Macaca mulatta: one gene and its partners. The protein of the gene in region 5 binds, or shares a complex with, the protein of the main gene of each other region. Links are inferred from orthologs where the notes say so. Each region holds a gene or a part of one and is shown on either strand. Other genes may lie near its edges.

What was found.
Region 1: NUP93 (region 5) and CETN3 share a complex: the UniProt entries of both Homo sapiens proteins name them as parts of the nuclear pore complex. The link is inferred for Macaca mulatta from reciprocal best matches to the Homo sapiens genes NUP93 and CETN3.
Region 2: NUP93 (region 5) and NUP62 share a complex: the UniProt entries of both Homo sapiens proteins name them as parts of the p62 complex. The link is inferred for Macaca mulatta from reciprocal best matches to the Homo sapiens genes NUP93 and NUP62.
Region 3: NUP93 (region 5) and RANBP2 share a complex: the UniProt entries of both Homo sapiens proteins name them as parts of the nuclear pore complex. The link is inferred for Macaca mulatta from reciprocal best matches to the Homo sapiens genes NUP93 and RANBP2.
Region 4: NUP93 (region 5) and NUP107 share a complex: the UniProt entries of both Homo sapiens proteins name them as parts of the nuclear pore complex. The link is inferred for Macaca mulatta from reciprocal best matches to the Homo sapiens genes NUP93 and NUP107.
Region 6: NUP93 (region 5) and NUP85 share a complex: the UniProt entries of both Homo sapiens proteins name them as parts of the nuclear pore complex. The link is inferred for Macaca mulatta from reciprocal best matches to the Homo sapiens genes NUP93 and NUP85.

Annotation. Positions count from the first base shown.
Region 1 is NC_133411.1:96,792,236-96,796,198, reverse strand, and holds the start of CETN3 (centrin-3), read left to right. Parts: upstream 1-1,163; 5' UTR 1,164-1,282; coding exon 1,283-1,299; intron 1,300-3,125; coding exon 3,126-3,261; intron 3,262-3,963. UniProt on the Homo sapiens protein: Plays a fundamental role in microtubule-organizing center structure and function. As a component of the TREX-2 complex, involved in the export of mRNAs to the cytoplasm through the nuclear pores.
Region 2 is NC_133424.1:62,390,486-62,394,539, forward strand, and holds the start of NUP62 (nuclear pore glycoprotein p62), read right to left. Parts: upstream 2,801-4,054; 5' UTR 2,724-2,800; exon of another isoform or gene 2,602-2,723; intron 1,263-2,601; exon of another isoform or gene 1,151-1,262; intron 406-1,150; exon of another isoform or gene 261-405; intron 1-260. UniProt on the Homo sapiens protein: Essential component of the nuclear pore complex. The N-terminal is probably involved in nucleocytoplasmic transport.
Region 3 is NC_133418.1:19,345,322-19,348,821, forward strand, and holds part of RANBP2 (E3 SUMO-protein ligase RanBP2), read left to right. Parts: coding exon 1-2,100; intron 2,101-2,970; coding exon 2,971-3,048; intron 3,049-3,500. UniProt on the Homo sapiens protein: E3 SUMO-protein ligase which facilitates SUMO1 and SUMO2 conjugation by UBE2I. Involved in transport factor (Ran-GTP, karyopherin)-mediated protein import via the F-G repeat-containing domain which acts as a docking site for substrates.
Region 4 is NC_133416.1:75,809,287-75,813,410, reverse strand, and holds the start of NUP107 (nuclear pore complex protein Nup107), read right to left. Parts: upstream 2,801-4,124; 5' UTR 2,720-2,800; coding exon 2,712-2,719; intron 795-2,711; coding exon 703-794; intron 223-702; coding exon 136-222; intron 1-135. UniProt on the Homo sapiens protein: Plays a role in the nuclear pore complex (NPC) assembly and/or maintenance. Required for the assembly of peripheral proteins into the NPC. May anchor NUP62 to the NPC. Involved in nephrogenesis.
Region 5 is NC_133425.1:52,444,468-52,446,794, reverse strand, and holds the end of NUP93 (nuclear pore complex protein Nup93), read right to left. Parts: intron 2,088-2,327; coding exon 1,959-2,087; intron 1,185-1,958; coding exon 939-1,184; 3' UTR 501-938; downstream 1-500. UniProt on the Homo sapiens protein: Plays a role in the nuclear pore complex (NPC) assembly and/or maintenance. May anchor nucleoporins, but not NUP153 and TPR, to the NPC. During renal development, regulates podocyte migration and proliferation through SMAD4 signaling.
Region 6 is NC_133421.1:84,926,482-84,929,962, reverse strand, and holds the end of NUP85 (nuclear pore complex protein Nup85), read right to left. Parts: intron 3,196-3,481; coding exon 3,078-3,195; intron 2,989-3,077; coding exon 2,888-2,988; intron 1,607-2,887; coding exon 1,455-1,606; intron 1,156-1,454; coding exon 1,054-1,155; intron 678-1,053; coding exon 576-677; 3' UTR 501-575; downstream 1-500. UniProt on the Homo sapiens protein: Essential component of the nuclear pore complex (NPC) that seems to be required for NPC assembly and maintenance. As part of the NPC Nup107-160 subcomplex plays a role in RNA export and in tethering NUP96/Nup98 and NUP153 to the nucleus.

The DNA of each region.
Region 1 (3,963 bases), on a different chromosome or scaffold from region 5:
GCTAATTTTTAGCTTGTTCTATCATACTATCTTTACTTGTGCAAATTTAGCCCATCCTTGTAGGTCTAACGTTTATGCCACCTCTTTAGGAAGCCCATCTTGTGCTCTCTCCCTTCTCTAAAATTTTATATACATCCCTTAAACATATGTTTACATATTCTCCGCCTTCAACTCCCATTCTCAGGCTATTTTATTCCCGTTTATGAGATTTGCTGTTTAGCTCAGTATTTTGTGGGTTTTCAAAAGATTCCACTCAATTTACCGAGCACCTATGCACCAGACATTTTATTAGGTACAAGGAAAAGCGTTAAATAGATATAATCATGGCCTTCAAGAAACTGAACCTGGTAAGGGAGACGAATAAGTAGACATTCAAGTGAGCTTTAGGAGACTTGGTTTGGTAGTGAATACAGTCTCACGTGTATTAACAATTTACAGCACCGTAAAATAAGAGACAGAAGCCAACAAATCCGTTTCAAACAGTTCAAAGGAGGAAAAGGAGAGGGAAGGGCGGTTTAGATACAGCATCACCATAAATAGCCTGATAATCTAACCCTGTGATAATCCAAGTATAGTCACAGCACCTGCCTCAGAATCACTTGGAAGGCTTGTGAGGAATACAAACGCAGATTCATACCTACTGAAATTAGAATGGAGAAAGGGGCATTTAAGTCTGCATTTTAAAGACATTCCCCAGGTACTGAAGCCATCCAAAGTTTTAGAACAGAGCAGAGCCACGCTTCGCAGACCTTGTTCCTCAACTACTGCCTCCTTCTAGCCGGAGGGTGGCGTGCAGCGTGTCCCTTCCCTTCCCACCGTCCAAGTTATCTATCCAGTTTTCGAACGTCGGCCCACAGACCGCAGGACAATACGCGAGAGACTAGGAGCACCCACTACGCAAACCACCACACAGGGATCGGAGGCCGGACCCGCAAAGGATTTGGGGAAAAAGGCATCAGGCCAATCCGAAGGGCGAGAGCGGCCCTAGGAATGGAGGGGCGGGGTGGGTGGCGGGGGGGGGGGGGCGGGGAGAGAGAGGTTTTTTTTTTTTCTTGATTGACGTAAAGCGTACCCAATTAAAATAAAACTGGTAAAGCTTCCGCCATAATGGGCAGAACCATAGCGACATTTCAACCAATCCAGCTCAAAAGTGTCTATGTTGTGGGAGGTCCCTGAGGCCGCTGAGGTCGTTCGTGTCTGTTGAACGGTTGTGGGAGTCTTGCTGCTTTGGGTAGGGGGTTAAAATCGTTTCTTGAGAGGAACGACTCTGTCCGAAGAGATAATGAGTTTAGCTCTGAGGTCGGTAATAAGGAGGCGGCAGTGCTCTCCACACCCCGGAGCGGGACCTAGGGAGGGTGTGTGTGGAAGGGAGGCCGTTTGGGGCCGTGGCGAGGCAGGGGATGCTGTTTGGGATGCGGGAAAGGAGCCTAGGGCAGCCTGTCTGGATCACTCACCCTCTGGGCTCTGGTGCCCTGCAGGGAACGAGACTTCCAGTGCATTTCTACTAAGGAGGTTATTTCTGTCAGCGCGTAGGGCTTTCGACTACCAAAAAAATGGGCTTAGTTGCGAGCGAGGGGGAGGGAATGAAATATCGCGAGGCTTCTACTCTGTTGCTCTGAGAGATCAGGCCGCGGAACATCCCTTCATTCAATTCGTATGCCTGGCCAGGGCCCCACCTCCGCTGCTCTGCTGCTGATGCAATCATCCACCTATAAATTTTGGAAATAACAAAAAACTCTTTGCTATTCTCCCAAGGTCCTGCTTTACGGTGTAATTAGAAACCCATTTTAGTGACTAATTGGCAAACTGTCTCTTGGATTTCCTGTTTCTTTCATTTCTTTACCTTTCAGTTCTAACCTCTAACCCTCTGTCTGTTACCCGCTCCCCCTACGTAGACGTTGTACCGTAAAACTATACATATACTTAGGACACTCTAAAAATGTTCCATGTTCTGCTAAGGGATAATCATGGTACCCTTGGATGGGGTCAGGGGTGGGTCGGTTCTGGACTTGGCCTCTAAAAGTCTCAGGAAGGAAAAGACTGACCCCAGGAATACCCAAGTTTGTGTCAAGTCAGGTCTCATGAAAGGAAGATCTTCCTCAGCTTTGTCATACTGCATCTACTGGTCACTTCCTAGCCTTTTTTTTTTTTTTTTTTTTTGTAGCGTTCAGAGACCAAAACGACTTTCAAATGCAGCTAGATACGTGTTTTAAATACAGTCAACTGGTTTTGACATGTTAATGTGTTACCAGATTGTGTGTTTCAAAACTTGTTCTTATACCAGTGTTGCGGCTCCATTGGAAAACTTGGAGCACATTTAGATGGGCAGCTCTTACGGAAAACATTTCTGGCTTTAAAGTAATTTTTGCTTTTTTCTTTAAGCGTTTCCAGAGTTTATGAGAAGTTTAACCTCCAGTTTACATCTTAAGTGAGACAAGACTTATGAAGCACAAATATTGTATACTTTTTTGACATCTAATATTTGTCATATGTTTAGACTCATTAATATTTTGGGTGATTTGTTAATATCAGTGGAGGAAATGACACATAAATTGCCAAACTGTTAGAAACGTGTAATCTAAAAACATTTTGAACCAACAGTCCCAAAATATAAGTTAATCCAGTTGTATTTTTTGTAGTAATTTTATGAACTTAATTATCAGAACTATCAAAAGTAAACCGATATATGGTGATTGTCAGTTACGAATTTTGGTTTCATTTGGAGATTTTTTGGTTTCTTTAACATTCTTGTAGAATAATGTGAGTGTTTTTGTTTTTTTTTGGTTGGAGTTGGTTGGAGTTTCAGACATAAAAGTAATGTTGCTTATTCACAGTTCTTGAATAAATAAAAAGTTAGGGAAAGTGGGAATAAATAAAAAGCTGGGAAAAGGAAAAGTTTGGTCCTCATTTCTTTTAATAATCTGTAACACTCTTTAGTTTTGGGAAGTTCATATTTATAGCAATTTAGACTATGGAATAAACAGGGCATTGACTCATAAAGGGAAAGTTTCCCTGTCTTTCTCCAAAGTACTTTCTTTTTTGAAATTTAGAAAATAATTATTGGCTAATTTCTGTTAGTAAAGAGAATTAAAGTGGACTAAGGGCTTTTTCTTTCCATTTCATAGAAGTGAGCTTGTAGTAGACAAAACAAAGAGGAAAAAAAGAAGAGAACTGTCTGAGGAACAGAAACAAGAAATTAAAGATGCTTTTGAACTATTTGATACAGACAAAGATGAAGCAATAGATTATCATGAATTAAAGGTAATGGTATACTTTAAAATACTTGTTTCTGTGTTAAAATGATTTGCATTTTGACAGTTGCTTTACATTACATTTCTAAGTAATTATTTTAACTAAATTGGTTTTGGAACTATGAAGGCATTTTAAGCATTCATAGTTAGATTCTATAATAATACTGAATAGAACTCCTAACACAGTTTTTAGAAAATCTTTTTCACGTGATAAAACGAATAGCATTTTAAATGTAACAATACATTCCTAGGGAAGGTGCTTATTTTTCACTGACATAATTAAAGGATTTCAAACTGGAATTTAAACTATTACCATATTCTTTTCACTGTTTTTTTTGTTTTTGTTTTTGTTTCTTGGTGACTCATACTGTTTTCAGATTGTGGGATTGTTGTCTTTTAATCTTATAATTTGTATTTGTTAGTAACATAGTCTCAATCCACTTTCTGTGGTACAAACAACTTCAGTGCTGTTTGATGTTGACACATGCTTGTAGGTAAAAATGTCAACTTTAAGACCTAGAATGTCAAGGTGTAGAGAGGGATTTGTAAATTATTATTTGTCAGGGTATAAGGAGAGATTTGGGTTTAGGGTAGAATGGGACTTACTTTCAGCACAGTGGGAAAGATAGTATTTTGAGATTTTTAATAGCCTTAATGGATAGGTGAATGTAAGTGTTTATTTGATAGTTTTAATTTTTGTAATTTCTTAAGG
Region 2 (4,054 bases), on a different chromosome or scaffold from region 5:
CTGCCGGTGGGGGGCTGGGGTAGGGCACGTCTCTGCGTCCTTACCACTGGCAGTCTGTCCAACAGTCTACCCTTAATTCCATCTGCTTTTGCTCAAAAACCTATACTGAGAAGTGGAAGGAAGTTGGACTTACTGCACAGCAATGGAATGAGAACACATCCACCTTAATTATAGCAGTAACAGTAACCACTTTTATGCAGCACCTACTGTGTCCCAGGCACTAGTCTAACTGCTCGACGCGGATTAACTCATTTAATCAGCCCTATGAGGCAGGCAGTTTTGTTTTTTTTGTTTTTTTTTTTTTTTTGAGACAGGGTCTCACTCTGTCACCCAGGCTGGAGTGTGGTGGCACAATCTCCGCTTACTGCAACCTCTGCCCCACCCCAGGGTTCAAGTGATCCTCCTGCCTTAGCCTCACAAGTAGCTGGGACCACAGGCACAAACCACCACACCCAGCTATTTTTTTGTATTTTCTGTAGAGACGGGGTTTCACCATGTTGCCCAGGCTGGTCTCGAATTCCTGAGCTCAAGCAATCTGCCCACTTCAGCCTCCCAGGGTGGTGGGATTACAGGCGTAAGCCACCGTGCCTGGCCCAGAGGCAGGTACTCTTAACACCACCTTGTACCACAGGGGAAACCGAGGCACCGGGAAGGGAAATGGCTACGGTCACACAGCTAATAAGAGGGGTGCAGTCAGGTTTTGAACTCATAAATCTGGCTCCAGAGTCTATGCCAAGGATGTATAAAATTTGGCTTCCTGGGGCTACATCGCAAGAATTGTCTTAGGCCACACATAAAATAACACTAATGATAGTTGATGAGCTCAAAAGGAAAAAAAAAAAACACTCGCAAAAAATTCGTATGGTTTAGGAAAGTTTACGAATTTGTATTAGGCTGCATTCAAAGCTATTCTGGGCCACATGCAGGCCCACGGATGGGACAAGCTCAGTTTATGCTCTTAGCTGCTACTCTGTATACTGTCTCAGTGATAACACAACCCCTACAAGCTCAAGGAAATATAGGGCAGGTGCTCAAAAGCTGGCAAAGTGGACAATAAGTGCTCTAAGGGAAGGTGGTCAGATCCCAAGAAGGGCTTCCTGCCCGCGACAAGTAAGGGAGGAGAAAGAAGCTTGTGTAAAACGCTCAATACCAGGATTCCTCCACCTTCTCTGGACCTTGATTCAGTCTCCTAACTGCCACAGAAGGGATGAAGGCTGAACTCCAGCTGGGATGTCCTGACGTGGATGGGACAAAGTGGGTTTCTGCAAGAGAGAAAAGACTGACATCCACCTCGGCTGGTGGAGGGCCCTGTGCATGAGAAGGGGCAAGATGGCTACCCTCTGACTAAAGGGAAACGGAGATCTTCCATTTTTGGCAGGGTTGGGAGATAGTTCCTATCCCGTGGAAGCTAAGGACTGTTTGAAAGGAAGCCAAGGGCAAGGGATGGAGAAAAGGACGCAGCTGGGGCCTCGATGTCTGAATCCCTGCCAGGGGATGGGGCCTGGGCACCCATCATTTGGAACGGAAGATGAGGATGGCCGGAAACAGACACTTCAGAGGAATGAGGGAGACAGAAGAACGACAGCAAGAGTTAGACAGTCCAACGTCTGCGGCTCTTGTAAGGGGGAAAGAAGAAGTGAGGCTGGGCCCCAATAAAATATGTTGAGGCCGGGCGCGGTGGCTCACGCCTGTAAGCCCAGCACTTTGGGAGGCCGAGGCGGGCCGATCATGAAGTCAGGAGATCGAGACCATCCTGGCTAACAAGGTGAAACCTCGTCTCTACTAAAAATACAAAAAATTAGCCGGGCGTGGTGGCGGGCGCCTGTAATCCTAGCTACTCTGGAGGCTGAGGCAGGAGAATGGCGTGAACTCGGCGGAGTTTGCAGTGAGCCGAGATCGCGCCACTGCACTCCAGCCTGGGCGACAGAGACCGAGAGACGTCATCTCACCAAAAAAAAAAAAAAAAAAAAAATTGAACAGGAACGTATGAGTTGAACTCTGTGCATAAGGCTTGCCAGACACCGTCTTGAGTTTCATAAACCCACCAGGAGAGCTGATTTTTCTTATTTTACGGATAGGGAAATGAAGCAAGAGAACTTAAGCTATTTGCCCGAGGCCATCCTGGTAGGTCTGTGTTTGGGAGAGTGCTGTGACTCACGCTGGACTCTAACCCACGAGGGTTTCTCGGGGTCAGCAGTTGGGGGATGAAAACATGAAAAGTGTGGCTGGCAGGAAATTCTGCAAGCAGGGAAAGGGAAACAGAAATTAAATGGTGCAGGTCTCCGGGAAGAGAATGAGACTGGATCCACAAAATCACAGGAGGAAGCAGGCCCAGACCTCACAGGCAGAAAAAGAAAGAAACCAGAGTTTAGGAGGAAACCAGACCCCGGAGCTACGAGAGGGCCGGATCCCTGGCTCAAAAGGGAGGAGGGGCCTGGACCCTAGGAGTGGGAAGGAAGAGGTCGGATCCCCTGATCCCCAGGAGGAGGGGACCGGGCTGCCACCCAGTTGGGGCCCCGCGAGGGCGGGGCGCGGAAGGATCCGGGCGGGCCATGCTGCGCCACCCGAAGTATTTCTGTCCCCAGTCCCCGGGGCCGCCTCATTCCCCGTCCTCAGATCACGGTCTCTTCTAACTACAGCGTTCTCCGCCTCCGCCTGCGTAGCCCCAGCCATGGCTCTGTAGCCTCGACCCCTTTGTGCCCCCAGCCCGACTCCGCGCTTACCACGCCTGCGCTCTCCGCTCCCACCTTCTTTCTTCAGCCGAGGCCGCCGCCGCCTCTCCTTTCTGCAGCCATGGAGTGAGTAACCGCTTACTTGTCCCTCTCCAACCGCCTTTCCCGCCCTTTCGCAGCTCGTGGCCCTCTTTAGGGAGCCCTGGGGGGAGGGGAGCTGCGAGCGGGGAATCACGGTCGCGCAGGCGCAGAAGAGGTACGGTGGGCCGAAGGCGCGCGGCTGCGCATGCGCACTGGGCCCGGAGCCGGGTGGGAGAGTTCTAGAGACTCGATGTTTGTCAGCCGGCGTGTGGCTGCGCCTGCGCACTCCAAGGGAGGGTGTGGTCTTTTTCTAAACGATTCTGTGCGTGCTTGGTTGTTCCTGCGCAGTAGCCTACCAGTGCCCCGTAATGAATGAGCGCGGGCCCTGAGTGTCCGCGCATGCGCACTGATCCCCAAGAAGGCGGAGGTGTAAAGCAATTGGACAGCTCGGAAGACGTAGCATGCGCTTTGGCCCTTGGCGCATAGCCGCGTGTGGACGGCTGGCGTTCGGGTAGCAGTTCTCTGCCTGCCCCCTCTACCCTCCTCCACCCTCCCTGCTCCACGTTGCTCTGGCTCACAGCCCAACTTCCTTCCTTTTAAACCAGGCACCTGCTGAGGCGGGGACTGGCTTAGATTGACAGGGGAGAAGGCGGGGCTTAGAGGCAGCCCTCTAAGTGGGTGGGGCTAGAACCACTGTCGTCACGATGGGTGGGATTTCGTGAGCCCATTGTGAGAAGGGGCGGGGCTAAGCCAACCTTTAGCTGAGGGGTGGGGCTTCGATGGGACAAAGAGGCGGGGCCTCTGGGGAATCGGAGAGGGGCGGAGCTAAATAAACAATGAGGGGCGGGGCTTGGAGGGACAGTGGCAAAGCGAGGAGTGGGATTTGAGTGGATAACATTGCTGAAGGGCTGGGGCCTGGGGCAGTTCCCCTGGGCACTGGTTTGGGATGGAAGCTAGGAAGGCAGTGGGGCCAAAAGGAAATATTTTAGGGCAAGGGGCGTGGCTGGAAGAAAATGTCCCTGGAATTGAGTTTTTCCATGAAGCGGAATATTCTGAGGTGGATGGGAGGGGCCTAAGGTAATTCCCCTGGGAGACCCTTAGGTTTCTGTATTGGGGGAAAGGGTGGGGCATCGGTCCTACCTTAGGACCTAAAGAAATTCCCTTGGGAGTGGGTGGGGCTCAGATTTGGGTAAAGAAAGGGCAAATTTAGAATTCGGAGAGGCTGAGGCTTAGTTATAAACTGTGGTTGGAAGGGGGAGGGAGGAGCCCCGTGGACGTGCCTGGGGGTGTGGCTTGGCTTC
Region 3 (3,500 bases), on a different chromosome or scaffold from region 5:
AAAATGATTCTGGCTTCCAGGCTCAGGATATTAGTAGCCAGAAGAATGGTAGTGGTGTGATTTTTGGTCAAACAAGTAGCACTTTTACATTTGCAGATCTTGCAAAATCAACCTCAGGAGAAGGATTTCAGTTTGGCAAAAAAGACCCCAATTTCAAGGGATTTTCAGGTGCTGGAGAAAAATTATTCTCATCACAATGTGGTAAAATGGCCGATAAAGCAAACACTTCTGGTGACTTTGAGAAAGATGATGATGCCTATAAGACTGAGGACAGTGATGACATCCATTTTGAACCAGTAGTTCAAATGCCTGAAAAAGTAGAACTTGTAACAGGAGAAGAAGATGAAAAAGTTTTGTATTCACAGCGGGTAAAACTATTTAGGTTTGATGCTGAGATAAGTCAGTGGAAAGAAAGGGGCTTGGGGAACTTAAAAATTCTCAAAAATGAGGTCAATGGCAAACTAAGAATGCTGATGCGAAGAGAACAAGTACTAAAAGTGTGTGCTAATCATTGGATAACGACTACGATGAATCTGAAGCCTCTCTCTGGATCAGACAGAGCATGGATGTGGTTAGCCAGTGATTTCTCTGATGGTGATGCCAAACTAGAGCAGTTGGCAGCAAAATTTAAAACACCAGAGCTGGCTGAAGAATTCAAGCAGAAGTTTGAGGAATGCCAGCGGCTTCTGTTAGACATACCACTTCAAACTCCCCATAAACTTGTAGATACTGGCAGAGCTGCCAAGTTAATACAGAGAGCTGAAGAAATGAAGAGTGGACTGAAAGATTTCAAGACATTTTTGACAAATGATCAAACAAAAGTCACTGAAGAAGAGAATAAGAATTCAGGTACAGGTTCTGCCAGTGCCTCAGACACAACAATAAAACCCAATCCCGAAAACACTGGGCCCACATTAGAATGGGATAACTATGATTTAAGGGAAGATGCTTTGGATGATAGTGTTAGTAGTAGCTCAGTACATGCTTCTCCATTGGCAAGTAGCCCTGTGAGAAAAAATCTTTTCCGCTTTGGTGAGTCAACAACAGGATTTAACTTCAGTTTTAAATCTGCTTTGAGTCCATCTAAGTCTCCTGCCAAGTTGAATCAGAGTGGGACATCAGTTGGCACTGATGAAGAATCTGATGTTACTCAAGAAGAAGAGAGAGATGGACAGTACTTTGAACCTGTTGTTCCTTTACCTGATCTAGTTGAAGTATCCAGTGGTGAGGAAAATGAACAAGTTGTTTTTAGTCACAGGGCAAAACTCTACAGATACGATAAAGATGTTGGTCAGTGGAAAGAAAGGGGCATTGGTGATATAAAGATTTTACAGAATTATGATAATAAGCAAGTTCGTATAGTGATGAGAAGAGACCAAGTATTAAAACTTTGTGCCAATCACAGAATAACTCCAGACATGACTTTGCAAAATATGAAAGGGACAGAAAGAGTATGGGTGTGGACTGCATGTGATTTTGCAGATGGAGAAAGAAAAGTAGAGCATTTAGCTGTTCGTTTTAAACTACAGGATGTTGCAGACTCATTTAAGAAAATTTTTGATGAAGCAAAAACAGCCCAGGAAAAAGATTCTTTGATAACACCTCATGTTTCTCGGTCAGGCACTCCCAGAGAGTCACCATGTGGCAAAATTGCTGTAGCTGTATTAGAAGAGACCACAAGAGAGAGGACAGATGTTATTCAGGGTGATGATGTAGCAGATGCAACTTCAGAAGTTGAAGTGTCTAGCACATCTGAAACAACAACAAAAGCAGTGGTTTCTCCTCCAAAGTTTGTATTTGGTTCAGAGTCTGTTAAAAGCATTTTTAGTAGTGAAAAATCAAAACCATTTGCATTTGGCAACAGTTCAGCCACTGGGTCTTTGTTTGGATTTAGTTTTAATGCACCTTTGAAAAGTAACAATAGCGAAACTAGTTCAGTAGCCCAGAGTGGATCTGAAAGCAAAGTGGAACCTAACAAATGTGAACTGTCAAAGAACTCTGATACCGAACAGTCTTCAGATAGCAAAGTCAAAAATCTCTTTGCTTCCTTTCCAACGGAAGAATCTTCAATCAATTACACATTTAAAACACCAGAAAAGGGTAAGTACTTTGTTGTTAAAGTTAAGCACAATTTTTCTTTTAATGTTTAACTTGATGCACTCTTTGTAGAATACTAATGTTGGGATATAAACGATGCTTTGTGAACACCCCCAAAATATTTGAGCAATATATTTTTCTCCCTTAATAAGTTCACGGTGAGGTTTCAAAGAGCAACAGAACTTAGTTTAAGACATTTCAGTAACTGGAAGATACTTCTTTCATGCTAGGGCAGAGCAAAAGAACTCAGTACAGTGTACGGACTCATGCTTGAATCATGCGCGTTAACGAGTCTTTTTTTAAAAAAAAGTTTTCATTTTCATTTGTTCAGTTTGTCACTCAGAAAACATGATACTGAGGCCGGGCACAGTGGCTCATGCCTAGAATCCCAGCACTTTCGGAGGTTGAAGTAGGCAGATCGCTTAAGCTCAGGAGTTCGAGACCAGCCTGGCCAACATGGTGAAACCCTGTTTCTACTGAAAATACAAAAATTAGCCGGGCATGGTGGTGCGTGCCTAGAATTAGCAGCTACTCAGGAGATTGAGGCAGGAGGATCACTTGACACAGGAGATGGAGGTAGCAGTGAGCTGAAATCATGCCACTGCACTCCAGCCTGGCTGGGTGACAGAGTGAGACTTTGTCTCCAAAAAAAAAAAAAAAAGAACATGATACTGAGATGTTCTCATTTTATATGTTGTATGTTAGTCTTGCTCATTTATTAAATGAGCAAAGAATGAAACTACAGGGGTAAATGAATATATAAGACAATCAGATTGGTGGTATAAATTGAGGGATTCTGGCTTTTTATGTTTTAAAAGCATATTCATTTTGTTTCCCAAAATGTTAAAAAATGAAATATTCTTCATTTTCTAGGATTTAATTTTAGCCTTTTTAAATCTAATCCCATGGCCTTTTGGACTAGCACCCCTTCCTCACAGCCTGAGAACAAAGGTATAGAACTAGCATTCTCAGTATGAGATAACAGCAGTTTTTAGCAGCTGGTAGCCCTTAGCAAAGTATTAATAACTGTGGCTGTATGAAATTAAGTACTTAACACTACAACATGCATGTTAAAGAATGCCAGTTTAAGCAAAGCACCTTTTGACTGGTGGCATGACATCCTTTATTTTTGGTTTGTTTTTTAAAATATACTGGGATGCTGATTTGTAATGTACTTCATTACTCTGTTATTTCAAGTCTGCTCAATGAAGACCTATGTTTTATCTAATGTTTATCTTTAGCCACTAACGTCTGCCAGTATTCAAATGTATTGGCAACGGCATGTATACAATATGGAAGAGTGTCCCTGTAGGGCTGTTCTTTTGTGCACGGTTTAGAAAAATGTTGTATTTGAAAATGGACCCCATTTTTAACAGCCAGCATTCTACAGCTTGTGTATTATA
Region 4 (4,124 bases), on a different chromosome or scaffold from region 5:
ATAATAACTGCAATCATTATTATTAGTGTTTATTGATATTGTAACCAAATACTATACTTATCATGTTACAATAAATGTTAGTTGCTATTATAATTATCATTATTATTAAATGCTTTAAAAGCAAAAAAGTCTTACAAGGCTGTCGAAATGAGCTAGGAGTTCGAGGGATAACCTGGTTTCTTGGTGTAGTATTACCGAAACTTTCATCTTGAGATGCCTGAACTGTACAATGAGTTAAGAAAAGTTTTCCATGTAGAAAAGATTAAAATGAGAATTAACCATCTTTTTACTATACAAATTATGTGAATACATTTTTCAAGAACAAGGTATTTTACGGCTACCATTTTTCAATGCAAAGGGTAAATAACCCATTCCTTCTGCCATTTAAATTCTCAGACGTCAGTCTTAGATAACTACACACTGAACTAAATGTTTTTAGTCAGTTTTCAAATAATAAAAATCTCAGCAGAAGCTAACCACAATATGATAGTCAGCAGTAAGAAATATCTTTATTTTTAAGGAAATATAATCTTATTAAATTTTTGCATTATATTTACCTAATGACAGCTCTGTGGAGTGAAAAAAATTTCTACAGGATTTTATTATAGCTAACATTTAATACTCTTATAAAAAGAAAATTCTATAACACTGATTCCAAACATGTTACAATTTTTATAATGATGCTTAAATCGCAAAGGATACTTAAAACTCTTTTTTGAGCACTCTGTTTCCGTGCAGTCCGTGTCACCTCTGCCTCCCGGATTACAGGGGATGATATATCTCCAAAGCCACTCCTAAAGTAGTATAATCAAGCTTATATAAGTGAAACGAGAATATAGCATTTGTAAAGAATTTTATCATCACAGCTGGAGTAAAGGACCCTGAGTAAGTTAAGATATAGGTCATTCCAGTAGCCAAGTCTTGGATCTTTTGCTGAGAATGCACTCGTGGCTCCAAATCCTGCTTATTCTTCAAAGTCTTACTCAAATGTTACCTGCACAAAGATTTCTCTGACTTTCTAGTACTCACTATGTTATTTTCTCCTAAAGAATTATTTCAACACTTGGAATCTATATTATAACACTGTTTTAGGTAATTGCTTCATAAAAGTGAATCTTATTTCCCTGGTTGGATTGAGAAGTTACCTAATTGCAGGAATTCTCTCTTCAAAGATTTTCTGCAGAATCCAAAATGCTTTAAACCATGGGTACTATTAAAAAACAAACAACAACAACCAGACAACAACCACCACCAGACAACAACAACAACCAGAGCTTGTGAGATACAACCACAACAACAAACAGAGCTTGTGAGATAGAAGAGTAAGTAAAAAAATTCTGGTAAATTGTAGCAAAATGACCCTTCAAGTTATTTCAACCAAAGAGGTCTCCTGTCCCATCACAACACTCTGTCAGTTTCACTCAAAGGTCTAGAAACTAAATTGTGTGGACTAAAAGGCCTGTGTTTAAGACAAGAATCTAATATGCTTTTCCTCCACTTAAAACCTTCAGATATTCCTTCAGCAGGAAAGTATGGGAAACAACCCCATAGAAAAAATTTTAAATGTTTAATAATTAAAATTAAAAAACAAAACAAACAAAAAACCTACAGATAGCTCTCTCTGGTTTATAGAAGTGCAAATTTCCTAAAATGATATTTACAATGTGACCCCAGTTTAGGCGTTCAGTCTTCTATTCAGCCACAAACATCACTCTAAACATATACTGCATGTGACCACTGAGCTACATGTACTTTTGTTTTTCATATACTAGCACCTTTGAATATGTTTCTTTTACAAAGACCTACATTTGCCCCCTTGGGCACCTGGTCAACAACTAATTACTCCTCAAAGAGCCTCAGGTAGGCTGGAGACACACAGAGGCAGGTTGGCAATTTGGTTCTTGTATTTATTAGCTTCCTAACTTTCAGCAAATTCCTTAACCTCTTTTAGTCTCAGTATTATACATGAAAAAGGGATAACAGTACCTATCCTCATAGGATTGCTCTTGTTCTGAAGATTAAATAAACTGATAATATATATTCAAAGCCAACAATGGCAGTCATATAGTAGGTACTCAATGTTTGGAGTACGAATAATGTACTATTATTATGCAAAGACCAGCTAGAAAGTTACCGTCTTTGAGAGGTCTTTCTGATAGAGTGACAGGGAGACTTAATCGCCCCCAAACACTTATCACTTTATACCGCTTGGTTGTCTCCACTACACAACTAATTCCCCGAGGTGAAGGATCTTGAATAACTGATCTTTGTTGCAGGCGGCTAGCACAGTACCCAGATCACAGAGGGAACTCAGTATCTGATGCTAGCACTTGTAATCAGAAAGTCTGAGCTGAGATCCCAGTATCTTCACTGACTGGCTTTGTGATCACAGGCTGGTCACTTAGCATTTCGAACGCCGGGCTACCTACCCCGCCCACCCCAGGAGCGATCAGTGTTGCTGCCCCAAAGCGCCGAATAGATCGCAGAACGTAGTGGGAATGTAGGGGACCATTATGATCCGTACCCCACCCGACGCAGGCCAAGCGGCCTTTCCCCATTTGTAGCCAAATTTCCCGGCATGGGGAAGGAGTCTTAGGGGAAGCACCCGGGACCTCCTTGGCTTCTTCTGGGAGTCTAGTTTCACCTATTTCGTTTCGCCAACAGGCGAGAGGGGCAAGGCTTTGGGTTCAGCTGCCATCATCAGAACTGACCTGTCCATGGCTAAAGCCTTTTCCACACAGAATAAATGTCGACTCCAGTTTAGCTACCGCGTTTTACCCTTCCCGCTCTCCGGAAGCAAGCCCTTCGACCCGGAAGCAGTCTCTCCCTAAAATAGCCCCACAGAAAAGGGGTAGGGGAGAAGAAACGACGTTCCCATCTAGCGCATGGGCGACTTCAGCCTACAGGTGCCGGCCCGGTGGGCGCAGGCGCAAAAGCTTGCCAATGTGTGCCTGGCTGGACCAGACAGGGCCGGGGGCGGGACCTGGTTGCGTTTAGCCCAGACGCCTTGCGGCCGCTTTGCCTGACCAACGTCTGTGGGCGTGGAACAGGCCCTGGGTTCTCCTACTGGGAAAAATGAAGCATGTTGATAGTCTGGAAAGACGTGAAGTCATTTCCTGGTATTCTCTGTCAGAAAGCGCCTGTTCTTGGAATTCAGATGCGTGGGCTCTGCCCCACACCTCGGGAATCTCTTATCTCTCTCCCTACACTCAGTCCTTTGTTCTCTAGCCCCCTGCAGTTTTTGAAACTGTTTTCCATAACTGCTATTTGTTCTTTACTTGGTATTCTTTTCTATTAAGGAGAAACAGTTCACCTGTATTAAAAAGTAGAAAGGCAAGCGTAAAACATGATGGTATTGCCCTCTATTTCAAAGTGCCGTCTAGGCAAAAAGTGGTATATTTTGGTCTTGAGGGAGTCAGTCACATTTTTGTTTCGGTTTTTGTTTTTTCCAGTTTGAAAGTAGCGACTGGCTATTAACTGACCAGATTACAAAAATAACGTTAGATGCTTCAGTTTATCCGTTTAATAAGCCTGTTGATATGGTCTTTTCTGTTGCTGGCATTTGTACTTTTTAGTAATACAGAATAGGTAGTCATTCTCCCTCGTGGAGAAGATAATTTGAAGGATCACAGGAACTTGAAGAGTTTTTCAACAGCATAGATCTCATGAATCAGATTCTCCAGTCAGATGATGCCATATTTATCAAGAAATCTATCAATCAAAGAGTTATCTGTTAAGGTAATTTGTTTATTGGTTTTGCCATAACCAATTTGTAGATCAGTTCATTTATTGATTTCAGGTTCAGGTACTCTATGCGATGTATGGTTCCACAATAGTCAGCGTGTTAACTGAAGCCTTGAGTTTAGCAGAGGTGCCATGGAAGATCTGGGGAAAGTGAAGAGGTTTTGACAGACTTTTGGGATCACACCATTGATACCTTAAGGCAAGTGACAATTTGGATTTCACAGGTATATAGAAATTGCCAGCTTTTCTTGTCATATATTCCTTGTGACAGTGCTGAGCTTTTTTCTTCTTCTTCTTCTTGCTTGCTTTTTTTTGGACTTGATTTTTTAAATTATGTTTCCTTCCTTCTTTCCTTCTTTTTTTTTTTTTTTTTTTTTTGA
Region 5 (2,327 bases):
TGAAAAGCAAATGCTTTTTACCTGATGTGTAAAACAAACTAGCGAGTGCATGTCCTTACTAATGTCCAAACAAAAAGAAATCTGACTTTGTGATAGGAATACCCATTGTATTTTCTTTAGAAGTGAATGAAAGTGCATGGGCTCTTTGAAATGAGCTCTAGGGATGTTCAAGTAAAAGGATTCACTCCCTTACTGGGCAGTATCTCACTTTAAACCATGAAACCAAGGACATCAGTGGGCTTGCAGACCTCTTGGGCACGCAACTTTTATATATAACCTTTTACTTAATCCTATTCGCCCCTACCTTTCAGAAAAAGAAAGAAAAAGGAGAGTGGTGGGCAAAAGGCAGGCAGGAGAATGATCTTCAGACATGGGACATGGCCTGCCAGAGACCAGCTCCTCTCAGTGGGCAAGCCTGCCTGAACTGTAAGTGGCACACAGAGCACCAAGAAGTATCCACTATCTCAATACTCACATTCACAAACATCACTGCACTGGGTTTCTATTATCAAAAAAGATTCCTGCCAAGTGGTAGGCACCATGAGCCCACCGCTGGCACATCTGGCGTTTAGATTCCTATCTGTCCAGGGTAAGGAGAAGACCAGCAAATGCTCTGGTGCGCACCTGGACGGGCTGACCACTTCAGTGGACCACTCTTGAGCACTGTTACCCACATTCCTAAAGGTGGAAATTTCCACCATCTTTCACTAAGCACAAGTTTTATCAACAACAATGCCTGTGGGGTCACAGTGGAAAGAGCTCACAGACATCCTCAGAGGCAGAAGACAGAACATGGCTTCTTGGCTGCCAAAACCAAGTCTGATGTTAGACACTGAGATCCTGAGAGTCTCATCAAAAATTAAGCGGAAATGTTAAAGGAAAGGTAATTTTAAAAAACATCATTGTGGGGCTGGGCACGGTGGCTCACACCTATAATCCTAGCACTTTGGGAGGCCGAGGTTGGGGGGATCTCTTGAGCTCAGGAGTTCGAGATCAGTCTGGGCAACATGGCAAAACTCCATCTGTATATAAAGTACAAAACTCAGCTGGGTGTGGTGGTGCACACCTGGAGTCCCAGCTACTTGGGAGGGTGAGGTGGGAGGGTGGCTTGAGCCCAAGAGGTGGAGGCTGCAGTGAGCTGAGATCATGTCACTACATTCTAGCCTGGGCGACAGAACCAGGCCCTGCCTCAAAAAAAAAAAAAAAAAAAAAAAAGAAAAGAAAAGAAAAGAAAACACCATTGTACTATCCCCTTATGGTTTAATTGGGTCAAAAAATACCTTTGCTCTTTTTTTTTTGTAATCAGACAACATATGCTGTGAGCCCCAGGGTTCTAGCTACCTGGATTCCACTTGACCCACGCACTGCCAGAGGTCCCACAGGCAGCAGAAAGGGCACAGGTGTCAGAGACCCAGCCTCCAGACATGGCCCCTTCACCTACCTGCCACCTGAGGGCAGTTGCTTCCCAACTCCACAGCTCAGTTTCCTCAGCTGTGAGAGGGGATAAGATGCTGTGCTAGTTACCTCTGTAGGGTCACTGTGAACACCGTGACAGGAGAAACAAGGGTTCACATTAAATTAATGTGTTGATCAAAAATAAAGTATGGTTTTAATAAAAGTGTTCACTAATGAGCTAGGACTAACAAAATAAACTTATCTTTTAAAATGTGCAGGAAGTTCTTAAGGAGTCAACTAGAAATTAGCATTCTGTGTGATCTGTTAAAAGGTAAGATTTGCAGACCTAGCACTTCTTTTTATTTTTTTAAGCTTGAGAAGAGCAGCAATCCCTTTAATGTTTGATTTCCTCTGGGAGCCCCCTAACACGAGATTTATCCAGCTGCCAGGTACTAAGGAGAAAGAGCAGTTTTGGGTCACGTGGTCTCTTAATAAGAGTGCAACGGATTCCAAACCAGAAAGGTGGTGCTCAGCAATGTTTCTCGTGAATGCTGGGATCTTACAGAGTCGCGGTCCTCGATGACTCTCTGGGGCCTGGATGATGAGGATGGACTTGTCCCCTTGAGCCTCTTAAACTGTGTGAACAAGATGTTCATGGTGGCAAGAAGCACTTCTGAGAGGTTGTGCCTGATCTACACAGAGAGAAAAACGGAGTAAAGAACAAGAACCAAGCCTTTCGGGCCAACCACAGATGGAGGGAGGGTGGGCTGCTCCAGGCGGGCCTGGTCGCATCACTCCTCACCATTACCAGGTGGAGAGCCACACAGTCACCCAAAAGGAGCTGATGGCACTGAAACATCAAGTGTGAGAAAAAACCCCAAGCAATGCTCCTCAGGTCAGGTGGTTACTGTTTCTGCTCCTTTATGCTGTTT
Region 6 (3,481 bases), on a different chromosome or scaffold from region 5:
CTCCTGGGGTTGAGGGATCCTCCCAAAGTGCTGGGATTACAGGCGTGAGCCACTGCGCCAGACCTGGGAGTGGTTTCTTATCTAAGGAGGCACAGGAAGACAGTTCCACATCAAATAGAACATAAGAGAAGGCTGGGTGCGGTGGTTCACGCCTGTAATCCCAGCACTGTGAGAGGCCAAGGCGGGCAGATCACAAGGTCAGGAGTTTGAGATCAGTCTGGCCAACACAGTGAAACCCCATCTCTATTAAAAATACAAAAAATTTAGCTGGATGTGGTGTGCACCTATAATTCTAGCTACTTGGGAGGCTGAGGCAGGAGAATCACATGAACCTGGGAGGCGGAGGTTGCAGTGAGCTGAGATGGCACCATTGCACTCGAGCCCAGGCAACAGTGCAAGACTGTGTCTCAAAAAAAAAAAACATAAAACAAGCATTTTTTAATCTTACTACCTCAGGTTCAGACTGGACAGATAAACTCCCTGGGTGGACTCTAAGAACCTACATTTGCAACACATTTATTCCTTTAAAAAATCTATATACATTGCCATACAAAGATACCACAATGAAGCAGTTCTCAGGAACCTTCCAGTGAGCCTTCTCTTATAATTGCCCGAGCAAGATTTCGTGCCAGAGCAAGTCTCAGCATTTCCACCTTGGTGGTTTCTATGTCCTCATCCTGCAAAGCAGAGAGCACCAGCATGAGACAAGAGTAGGAAGGAGCCCTTTCACACTCCCGAAGGTTCTAGCTAATCCAAAGGTAGAGGGCACTTAACACTCATAGTAGCTTCCAGAAAATTATCAATATAAAAGAAAGCAATACCAAAGGGCCATACTGGAAATGATGAACAGGAAAGAGCAAAATGTAGAGGTCAGAACACTAGAATCCCTCATTTCCTCCTAAAAGAAGGTGGTGTGTGAATGACACAGGTTAAGGGGAACAGAGGCACATGTGTCCACAGGAGCCAGTGTTTCTGGAGGGAAGGGGAAGTCTGAGATAGAGGGAGCCTTTTCCCACCTCCATGTGGAACCATCAGCCCAGAAGTGAAAATGACCTGGAGCTGCTGAATATCAGATTCTCCACGCACAGGTCTTCTTGACGTCAAGTCCTCCAGACACTGCATCAACTCGTAAGTCTGTTCTGCTGAGAAAATCACCTAGGGAAGAGAGCCTGCCTTGCTTGGCTGCCCCCAGCCCAGGCCTGCACTGGTTGGGCAGGGGCCCACGTTCGGACGTTCTTCCTTTCATGCCTTTCTCAACAGTGTGCTCTGTACAGGAAGACCTCATTTCAAATTAAGCAGTGTTTCCTGTGTGAGTCTGGAATTGCAGAGAGGGTGCTAAGGGGAACACACGTGCGCAGGCAGAACGACAAGGGAGGAAACACACGTTGCCAACAGCTACACAACTAAGCTCCAGCAGGGACAAGCAAAGAAAACCACCCTGCTGCAACCTTCACCTGTTTTTGTTCCAAAAGGGGCAGGGCATCTGTCAGCAGAGTCATCCAGAAAGACCGAGGGGCAATCCGAGACGTCATCAAGGACAGAAGGAGAGAAGCTGCGTCAGCAAAACGCTTCTCCCCGTACATATGGTGAAACTCGCGATACTTTCCTACGGCGAAACAAGAGCACTAGGTAACGTGCATATTCCCCCAAATTGCCCAAGTGACACCTACAAAAGTCACCCTGGCCCTAAACAAGAGAAGAAAAACCACAGACCAGCCACTCTACAGAGCAGGAGATTTTTTCTATCTCCAAACTCATAGGCCCCAATGAGATGCAGACCAAGAGCGTTCAAAGCAGACTTGGAAGAACTCCAAAGAGCCAAATCTGGGGAAACATCAGAGTCAAAATACGTAACAACAGTCATGGATTAAAAGATTGACTAGGCCAGGTGCAGTGGCTCATGCCTATGCCTGTAATCCCAGCACTTTGGGAGGCCAAGGTGGGTGGATCACCTGAGGTCCGGAGTTTGAGACCAGCCTGGCCAACATAGTGAAACCCCATCTCTACTAAAAATACAAAAATTAGCCAGGTATTATGGCATGCACCTGTAGTCTCAGCTACTTGGGAGGCTGAAGAGGCAGAATCGCTTGAACCTGGGAGGTGGAAGTTGCAGTGAGCCGGGATCGTACCACTGCACTCCAGCCTGGGAGACAGAGTGAGACTCCATCTTTTAAAAAAAAAAAAAAAAAAAAAGGAAACATGGAGGCACTGGCCTGGCACAGTAGCTCACGCCTCTAATCCCAGCACTTTGGGAGGCCAAAGTGGGCAGGTCACTTGACGTCAGGAGTTCGAGACAAGCTTGGCCAACATGATGAAACCCCATCTCTACTAAAAATACAAAAAATTAGCCAGGCATGGTGGCGCATGCCTGTAGTCCCAGCTACTTGGGAGGCTGAGGCAGGAGAATCGCTTGGACTCGGGAGGCAGACGTTGCAGTGAGCCGAGATCACGCCACTGCACTCCAGCCTGGGTGACAGAGTGAGACTGTCCCAAAAAGCTAAATAAATAAAAGACAAAAATTAGCCAGGCGTGGTGCCGCATGCCTGTAATCCCAGCTACTTGGGAGGCTGAGGCATGAGAATTGCTTAAAGTCAGGAGGTGGAGGTTGCAGTGAGCTGAGATCATGCCACTGCACTCCAGCCTGGCAGCCTGGGCCACAGAGCGAGTAAGATTCTGTCTCAAAAAAAAAAAAAAGACAGAAACATGGAGGCACTAAGGAGATGTGACAGCCAAACTCACGATCCTGGACATGACGGAGGATGTTTCTGGGGCCACTGATGCAATGGGAATATATGAAGGAAGTGCTGGGAGGTCTGATATGATCCCTCCAACCTCCCCAACTACCCACTTGTGTCTAAAGCACAGGGCACAAAACCCAGGGACTCACCCAGGAATGTCAGTCGGTCACTGAGCATCATGGCTGGCCCCAGGTTGTCAATGAGATCCAAATCAGAAAAGCAGCCTCGCTCACAGTAATCCCTGAGGAACCTGCAGGGCCCAGCCCAGACATCAGAGCAGCAGTCTCAGGCCCACCTCAACCACCCAGTCCCTGGGAAGCCAACACCAGCGGTACCCACCTGTCTGACACAAGCGTGGCAAAGGCGGCATCCTTAGCACGGATGCTCCAAGAGAGGGCAGAACCCAGGCGATTGTTGCGGACGGCTTTCATGGCTAAGATCTTACAAATGCTGCGAACTTTGTGAGGGAAAAGAAAAGGTGAACGGCTTTCACTCCACAAATCACTCCATTCCTGAGCCCTGTGGGGACCAGAGTGGCCTCACAGCCTCACTCCACCCCAAAGCCACTCTGTGGGCTCTAAACGCAGCTGGATTGGCAGAGCTGGAAACTCAGGCTGATTAACAGTGTCTGGGCTCTGCTAAGAGTGTAAGTGCCCGTCACGGCAGGACTGGCTCCGTGAGTGTGTGGCTTCAAGGGTAGCAAAAGATTTTTGTTTCTCCCTACGTGTCAGCTCTTCTATTAC